Saccharomyces cerevisiae S288C: one gene and its partner. The gene in region 1 interacts genetically with each later gene. Each region holds a gene or a part of one and is shown on either strand. Other genes may lie near its edges.

Evidence for each region.
Region 2: mutations in SIP1 (region 1) and SAP155 together harm fitness more than expected from each alone (negative genetic interaction), as found in Saccharomyces cerevisiae (2 studies listed by BioGRID).

The regions. Positions count from the first base shown.
Region 1 is NC_001136.10:1,314,761-1,319,352, reverse strand, and holds SIP1 (Sip1p), read left to right. Parts: upstream 1-1,579; coding exon 1,580-4,027; downstream 4,028-4,592. Other genes in the region: CAD1 (Cad1p), read left to right, coding at 78-1,307; ARO80 (Aro80p), read right to left, coding at 4,461-4,592. UniProt on the Saccharomyces cerevisiae protein: Beta subunit of the SNF1 kinase complex, which is required for transcriptional, metabolic, and developmental adaptations in response to glucose limitation.
Region 2 is NC_001138.5:232,718-237,799, reverse strand, and holds SAP155 (Sap155p), read right to left. Parts: upstream 3,559-5,082; coding exon 550-3,558; downstream 1-549. Other genes in the region: ERJ5 (Erj5p), read left to right, coding at 1-432; OSW7 (Osw7p), read left to right, coding at 4,256-5,082. UniProt on the Saccharomyces cerevisiae protein: Positive regulator of protein phosphatase SIT4. Involved in directing expression of TOR-repressed genes and in dephosphorylation of NPR1 in response to nutrient starvation. Negatively modulates K(+) efflux of the cell by the Na(+)-K(+)/H(+) antiporter NHA1.

The DNA.
Region 1 (4,592 bases):
TACTATTATACTTTCATACGAATGGGGTGTTACTTTTAAGGACGACATATAAGCAATGGAACGACCAGTTAAGATAAATGGGCAATATCCTTCGGAAAGGTCAGCAAATATATTTAGCAGGTGACATGAAGAAGCAAATGTTGCTAAATAAAGATGGAACACCTAAGAGGAAGGTGGGCAGACCAGGCAGAAAAAGGATTGACTCTGAAGCTAAGAGTAGGAGGACTGCCCAGAATAGGGCAGCTCAACGAGCGTTCCGAGATAGGAAAGAAGCCAAAATGAAGAGTTTGCAAGAGAGGGTAGAGTTACTAGAACAGAAAGATGCGCAGAATAAGACTACCACGGACTTTTTACTATGTTCTTTAAAAAGTTTACTGTCGGAAATTACAAAATATAGAGCTAAGAATTCTGATGATGAAAGAATATTAGCCTTCCTCGATGATCTGCAAGAACAACAGAAAAGGGAAAACGAAAAAGGAACAAGTACAGCAGTTAGCAAGGCTGCAAAGGAATTGCCATCGCCTAATTCAGATGAAAACATGACTGTGAACACAAGTATAGAAGTACAGCCGCACACTCAAGAGAATGAGAAAGTTATGTGGAACATAGGCTCATGGAACGCTCCCAGTTTAACCAATTCGTGGGATTCTCCCCCCGGAAATCGAACAGGTGCCGTTACCATCGGTGACGAAAGTATTAATGGTAGTGAAATGCCAGATTTCAGTCTCGATCTTGTCTCCAATGATAGACAGACTGGTCTAGAAGCTTTAGATTACGACATTCATAACTACTTTCCTCAGCACTCTGAACGCCTGACCGCTGAAAAAATAGATACGTCAGCATGTCAATGTGAAATTGACCAAAAGTATCTTCCATACGAGACAGAAGATGATACTTTATTCCCCAGCGTGCTTCCCCTTGCTGTAGGGAGCCAGTGTAATAATATTTGCAACCGCAAGTGTATCGGGACCAAACCATGTTCAAATAAGGAGATCAAATGCGACTTAATAACAAGCCACCTGTTGAATCAGAAATCTCTAGCTTCGGTGCTTCCGGTGGCTGCTTCTCATACTAAAACAATTCGAACCCAATCTGAAGCAATTGAACACATTAGCAGCGCCATATCGAATGGAAAAGCGTCTTGCTACCACATTCTCGAAGAGATCTCCTCCCTACCAAAATATTCATCGTTGGACATAGATGATTTATGCAGCGAATTAATAATCAAGGCAAAATGTACAGATGACTGCAAAATAGTAGTCAAAGCTCGCGACTTACAGAGTGCTCTGGTTAGACAGCTCCTGTAGCATATAAACATATCTTGAGTATACATAATGTTGGATGAGAGCATGTAATATTGATCGCTTTGTACGATGATTATACCTTTTTTGTCTTTTTACCATTGTCTCTGATGGAATACTATTGACAATTAACAATGGTAGATATATCCGATACAAGTGGATACCTACATAAACAAGGTGTCTTACCTAGTGTTTCTTTCATTTGCACTTCTTTTTTTGCGTGTGGACTGACATCTTGGAAAGTTGAACTGTCATATTATATAGTTGTTGCAGCCGCCATGGGAAACAGTCCTTCTACTCAGGATCCATCGCATTCAACCAAAAAGGAGCATGGACATCATTTTCATGATGCATTCAATAAAGATCGTCAGGGAAGCATAACCTCTCAACTGTTTAACAATAGGAAGAGTACTCATAAGAGACGCGCCAGTCATACTAGCGAACATAATGGTGCCATTCCCCCTAGAATGCAATTACTTGCATCTCACGATCCATCGACAGATTGTGATGGGCGCATGAGCAGTGATACTACTATCGATAAGGGCCCGTCCCATCTATTCAAAAAGGATTATTCTTTGTCCTCTGCCGCAGACGTAAATGACACTACGTTGGCCAATTTGACTTTAAGTGATGATCACGATGTGGGTGCACCCGAAGAGCAGGTGAAATCTCCGTCGTTTTTGAGCCCAGGTCCATCAATGGCCACTGTCAAACGAACTAAAAGTGATCTGGATGATCTGTCTACTTTGAATTACACCATGGTTGACGAAACAACAGAAAATGAAAGAAACGACAAACCACACCATGAAAGGCATCGCTCAAGCATCATAGCTTTGAAAAAAAATCTTTTAGAAAGTTCAGCTACTGCTTCCCCTTCTCCAACGAGGTCTTCATCGGTGCATTCAGCATCACTTCCCGCCTTGACCAAGACGGATTCCATTGATATTCCTGTAAGACAACCCTATTCAAAGAAACCATCTATCCATGCATACCAATATCAATATCTCAATAACGACGAAACATTTTCTGAGAACTCTCAAATGGATAAAGAGGGAAACAGTGATAGTGTAGATGCAGAAGCAGGCGTACTTCAAAGTGAAGATATGGTTTTGAACCAGTCTCTTTTACAAAATGCTTTAAAAAAGGATATGCAACGTCTTTCAAGGGTGAATTCCTCTAATTCAATGTATACTGCAGAAAGGATAAGCCACGCTAATAACAATGGAAATATTGAAAATAACACCCGTAACAAGGGAAACGCGGGAGGCTCCAACGACGATTTTACCGCACCTATATCTGCTACTGCAAAAATGATGATGAAACTGTACGGTGATAAGACCTTGATGGAAAGAGATTTAAATAAGCACCATAATAAGACAAAGAAAGCCCAGAATAAAAAAATAAGGTCGGTTTCAAATTCGAGAAGATCCTCATTTGCTTCTTTGCATTCTTTACAATCAAGAAAGAGTATCTTAACAAACGGTTTGAATTTGCAGCCTTTGCATCCACTACATCCAATTATTAACGACAATGAAAGTCAATACTCTGCACCGCAGCATAGAGAAATATCGCATCACTCTAATTCCATGTCGAGTATGTCTTCAATATCATCAACAAACTCCACCGAAAATACTTTAGTTGTTCTAAAATGGAAAGACGATGGTACCGTGGCTGCAACCACGGAAGTCTTTATAGTAAGCACGGATATTGCTTCTGCTCTTAAAGAGCAAAGAGAGCTTACCTTGGATGAGAATGCAAGTTTAGACTCAGAAAAACAGTTAAATCCTAGGATCCGCATGGTTTATGATGATGTGCATAAGGAATGGTTTGTTCCAGATCTTTTTTTGCCTGCAGGAATTTATAGACTGCAATTCTCCATCAATGGTATATTGACTCACTCAAATTTTCTTCCTACAGCTACGGATTCAGAAGGCAATTTTGTCAACTGGTTTGAAGTATTGCCCGGTTATCATACGATCGAGCCATTTAGAAACGAAGCAGACATCGACTCGCAAGTAGAGCCAACACTGGATGAAGAATTGCCCAAGAGACCGGAACTTAAAAGATTTCCTTCTTCCTCTCGAAAATCTTCCTACTATTCTGCTAAGGGTGTTGAAAGGCCAAGTACACCGTTTTCAGATTATAGAGGCTTAAGTAGGTCCAGTTCAATAAATATGCGTGACTCATTTGTACGTCTGAAGGCTAGCAGTTTGGATTTGATGGCCGAGGTCAAGCCTGAGAGGTTGGTGTATTCGAACGAAATACCAAATTTATTTAATATAGGTGACGGCTCTACGATTTCTGTAAAAGGAGATTCTGATGACGTGCATCCCCAAGAACCTCCCAGCTTTACACATAGAGTTGTTGACTGTAATCAAGATGATTTATTTGCTACTTTACAGCAAGGCGGTAATATTGATGCAGAAACAGCAGAGGCGGTTTTTCTAAGTAGATACCCAGTTCCTGACTTGCCCATATACCTGAATTCATCCTATCTGAACAGAATACTAAACCAAAGCAATCAGAATTCAGAATCACATGAGAGGGATGAAGGTGCGATAAATCATATTATACCCCACGTGAATTTGAACCATTTACTGACAAGCAGTATTAGAGATGAAATAATCAGCGTAGCTTGCACTACTAGATATGAGGGGAAATTTATCACTCAAGTAGTTTATGCACCTTGTTATTATAAAACACAAAAGTCTCAGATCAGTAATTAGAATCTCAATTCGCAATGATTCTCACGAACTCTATTAATTCAATTTTTTTCTTTTTGATTCCTATGGCTCCTAGAACGTTTGCATTCCTTTTTTTTTTGTTCTAGTAGGTATTTCACGTCACGTTTCTGGCAATCCACTTCTCAGCATGCGTGGAATATACTTTAACATATCCAACGAATTTGCTGCATATTCTTATGTAATAGATAGCCGTTCCTAATGTGTAATGGCCTGCTTTGTTATAGAAATCATATATAAGTAGTGATTGAGCCGTAAAATCATCTCATATGCCCAATGGAAAACCAGTCATAGTATTATGAAGCATTCGCATTATTATATACCTCCATCTTCCCCTGTTATTCTGTCTTTGTATTTAAAATCATTTTTACGAATAGTGCGGTTGTCTTGGTTGATGACGTAATTCTTTGATATCTACTTATTTACGCGTTATTGGCCTTGAGTTATTAATATCATTATTGATGTTATTACTATTCACGAACAAGTTGTATAAATTTTCGAAATTATTATTATCACCATCTCCACATTGCATATATCGTTGCTCAATAAG
Region 2 (5,082 bases), on another chromosome or scaffold:
CAATATCGTTCTCAAAGATCAAGAATTGAAAACTTCATCAGTCAGTGTAAACAACAGGATGATACCAATGGACTAGGCGTAAAACAACTAACGTTTAAACAACATGAAAAGGATGAGGGTAAAAGTTTGGTTGTAAGGTTTAGCGATGTCTATGTTGTAGAGCCTGATGGAAGTGAAACACTAATTTCGCCAGATACCTTGGATAAACCTTCAGTAAAGAACTGTTTGTTTTGGAGAATACCTGCTTCGGTTTGGAACATGACGTTTGGCAAATCTGTTGGTAGCGCAGGAAAAGAAGAAATAATAACGGATAGTAAAAAGTATGATGGTAACCAAACAAAAAAGGGGAACAAAGTAAAAAAGGGTTCTGCAAAGAAAGGCCAAAAGAAAATGGAATTGCCTAACGGTAAAGTGATCTATTCACGTAAATGATACGTAAGAAGTAATATTATCATGATGAATGAATGAATGAATAGAAAACTACATGGTACTTATACATATAAATTAATATATATATATACAAATTAAAGAAAAGTACAAAACAATGTATCATTCATGATCATAATCATTATCATTATCAGCATCTTCATTATAATTACGAGTATTATCATTGTCATTATCATTATTATCGTTATTATCGTTGTTATTACTATTATTACTATTATGGTTGGTATTGTTAATGTTACTATTACTGTTCTTGTCCTCCGGCGGCCCCAGTATGAAAACCCCATTTTCCGTGTTCTTATTATCAACGTCTTCTTGAGCCCTATTGATTAACATTTCCCTTAACTTGTTGTGTAAATCAGATTCTGTAGATAAGGACAACTGTTCTTCTAGAGACTCAACATTGATTAATTGGCCGCCACCACTTGTTCCATTACTACTCCCGGTATCTGAATCAAGGATTTCATTATTATTACTTGCATCACCATTTGGAGTTAATACAGTAGTATTGTCAGGCAGCTGCGGAATGATGTTACCATTTCCATCATCAATATAACTTCCACCGCCAAGAATTTTAGAGTACATCATTCTTGTTTCGTTTAAGACTTCTTCGGAGTAGTATTGCCATTCTTCGGTTTGTAAAATTACTTGAATATCGGGAGATATTAGTTCCACTTTGTACAATTTAGAAAATTTGACCACTTCTTCGGCAATCAAGACAATATGGCCCATATATCCCAAATTCATTTTCCTTAGCTCATAAAATTTATATGAATCCTGGTAGCCCCTTAATATGAAGTCTGTAGTTATTTTGAAATCAAAATTTGGGTCTCTAATAACGGGAGAAAATCGGGAAACATCCGTTCCTTTTTCATCTGATATGACGATATCAGTCATAAATTGATAGGAGCTCTTTAAGTTAAACAGAGACAAAACAAGGAAGGAATTATAGGAAAAATCCATTCTTCCATTGAAGATTTGCTGAATTATGTCGAATATAACATTATGCCAAAAATTGTTCCAAGGATGTGTTAAGAATAGTTCCATTATTTTGGAAACAATTCGCGTATCATATAGTTTGATTTTGAATAGGTCCCCGACCGTGGGGTCGGTCCTAAGTTTTATGTTTTGCTTCATATTGATGTATGGAATTTCGAAGCTCTCGTCTATTTCGTCGCCATAGTCACTTTCATCATCATTATCATTATTGTCGTTATCTATTTTACCGTTGTTATTTTTTAGGTCGTGATCAGTGTCACGTGTTGGAGAGTGCTTCGTTTTAAGTTGCTCCTTTTCTTCGATACTCAGATCGTTTAATGCATCTTGTAAATGATGGGATAACTGGCTCCTTACTTTATCTCTTCTTCTGGCTATTCTTTCTGCCCTTTTGGAATTCATTAATCCCATATTAGAGCAATGCAGTAACTCGGCGATTAATTCCACCACTTTGAATCTTTCAAATCCTAAAGGTTTAAATTTTTCGTGCAACTGATTTTCATGTAATGGGATGTTGGCGTCATTTTCAATATCTAGAATGATTTGGAAAAAATCGGACAAATGGTTTGAAAATTTCCGAAGTAGATAGCCTAAATATATTGGATCTCTATTTGAAGGTGGATGAGTCTTTATAGTAGTGGTTAAAAGATTAACTTGATCGTAGTCTGAATTGTTTTTCCTTATCAGCTCAATGACAATCGAAACTGTGGTATTTAATGCGGCACCTCTTTGGTTGATCATGATATCGACTAGCTTTGCAATGGATTCGGGAGATGCTAGCTGTCTCGTCAAGGAGTTTGGACCAATGGAAATATCATCCAAGGGTGCATTAGCAGAAATGGCAATCAGAGCCTTTAAGAAATCACCCACGCATGCTTGGATGTCAGCTGGGGACTCTTTGTTATTTAGAAAGCTTAAGCATTTGCTGATCAAGTTTTGATCATATACTAATTCAATTATTCCCGTGGGTGATTCAATCTTATCTGTGGATATTATTTTCAAGAAAAAATCCATCAATAGGGAAATATCAACATGCTTTAACATATCATCAACAAAGCTTCTCTCCGTTCGAATAAAATTTAAATATTGATCCTGCCTGGTTAACAACAGATTTTGGTTAATCTTTAAGAATATGGGTACCAAGGGAGAGTTTTCAGAATTGAAATTTGGCTGGTTGATGATAGACCAAATCTTGTTTAAGTATGATTGGTTTTTAACTAATGACTCGCTAATCAACCATATGTCTAAGGAAAAGATTTCAGATATTATGGTGGCCTTTGTCAAATAAGCAGATTCATCGTCCTCATTCGCATCGTCGTCGTCGTCATTGTTGTTGATATCATCGTTACCAAACGAGGAGCTTCCGCGTTTTCGTCTCTTCTTGTTATTGCTGTTATTATCGTCCTCTTTCTCCTCTTCTTGCTCCGTATCAGATTCCACATAAACGTCCTCTTGTGAGCTATCATCAAGCTGTTGCTGTTCTTGATAATCTATCAGGTTATTCAAATCCACTGTGGTGGCGGTTTTAATCTTCGAGATACATTCCATCAGTTGGTCGACCAGATATTCCATATTATTCACTTTCTTATTAGTTTTCTTATCAAAGAAAAATCCAAAGCAAATGAAGTCAAGTAGCGTCTTGTTTTGTCTCGATAATTCGTTCAGTAGCTCTGTCTCTACAAGCATTCTTTCAATAAAAGAGTTATCCAAATTCTTTGTGGTGACCATCATGGGAGCAGTAGCATTGCTGATATCCTCCTCATCTAAATCAGTTTTAGAAGTTGACCCAGAAGAAAAAGATGTAGTGGAAGATTCGCTAGAGTTCATGCTCCGTTCCTCTTCCTCTTTCTCATACCGTTCTTGCTGATCATCCTTCTCAAATCGACTCTTCTGATCTCCACGTGCCGTTTTCACTTCATCACCATGACTATACTCCTCCGGAATAGAATCTAGGGAGTCACTTGTACCTCGTTCCTGAACGTTGTTGAAAATAGCGGGAATGGCTTTACCAACGCTTGGGTTAATCCTTTCCAGTTCGTGTAGCACATGAAAATATTCATCTAGGATCTTATTAATATTAGAGTGATTAAGATTCTGTCCAAATGGCCAAAACGACATCTTTACTCTGGCTTGTTGTTTTCGTCTTTTTTTTCTTTTCTTTTGTAAAAACTGCTGCTCCAAAAATCAATAGAATGGGAACGGCAGAGACTATAGTCTAGGGAAGTAACGCTTGTGTCTTAATCGTGTTGAAATAAAATCAAAATGAAATAAAATCAAAATAATAAAAAAAGAGGAGGAAAAAAGGGGATAGTCACTCAAACCCACTATCTAGCTTTAGTCTCTCAGTCTTTTAACCGCTACTTGGAGAAAAAATACTGAATCCAATGGTCAAATAAGGCCTTTCTTCTAGTTGCTTTGGAGCGTATGATACCACGATACTGTTGGTTTTGGTTCTAATTGGCCACTTAAAATTATTTTTCTTTCTTTTTTTCTAGAGGAAGGGATAACCCTACTAAGACCTATTCTATAATTACCAGCCCTATAGTTGTCTTTCATTTTTTAGATAAATGCCCTCTTTAAAAATTAAATTAACCCTACTCATTTTGTTGTCATTTCGGCCCTTTTAAGCCACAATACAGGTATCATTTAACAGGAATTACATAATAGTACTTTAGAAGAGACTTGTATGGCATCGAGGCTTCCTTTTTGACTATTGGAAGATAGCATTTTTTTGGGTGTTGCTACTATCATATTTCTGTTACTGATTGACCTTTTCTTAACTAAGAAAAAGGTGGTTAGTTCTTTACTAAAAATCATGAAGGCCGTTTTCAAAGTAACGACTGCTTTGCTGGCTTGCGTGTTTATTGCAAGGTATCTGGTCTGTCAGCAAAATGGTCTGGGAAGCTTTGCCACAGATTTACAGCCCATTTGCCGGCATACTGAATTTTCAGTTGGCTCACTATTCGATTCTAAATTGGTTGAAGGTTCAGCGGTTTCTGACTATTTAGTTGGAAAGTACTCACAATCGATAAAACCACTGATTGAAAGATACCCCAACTCATCCTTGAAGAGAATTATGGGATATTTTTACCGCTTTTGGTACAATATTTTCTCTTTTCTAAGGCTAAATGAGCTCTGCTGTTCGCTACATTCCAAGTTGGGACCTTTATTAAATCATCTAAGGATTGCCTGGTACTATTTAAAGCCATATACAGACAATGTGAAGAATGTACTAGAGAATCCATTTAACTCCTCTACGGATTGGATGAAATACGGCTCCTTTAGCGCTGATGGCACGCTCACCAAACCCATTTTTGAGACAGACTCGGAAACAGAGGATTATGAGGATGATGAGAATGAAAATGAGGATGAGGATGAAGATGAGGATGAGGATGATGTCGGAATTGAGGATGAAAATAAAGAATACGAGTTCGATGGAGTACAGGATGGCCACGGGAACTCACAACTCGTCACTGCTGCTATTTTGCAGGATTTGTCAAAGATTATCATTGGTTCCAATAGCCATGCAGAATTGGAAACTTACGAGGCAGAATCATTAAAAATGGAATATGAAGCATGGATTAAGGCTATAGATTCGAAAATACACAGTGCGATGGCACTTTTGGATTCAGAGATACAGTC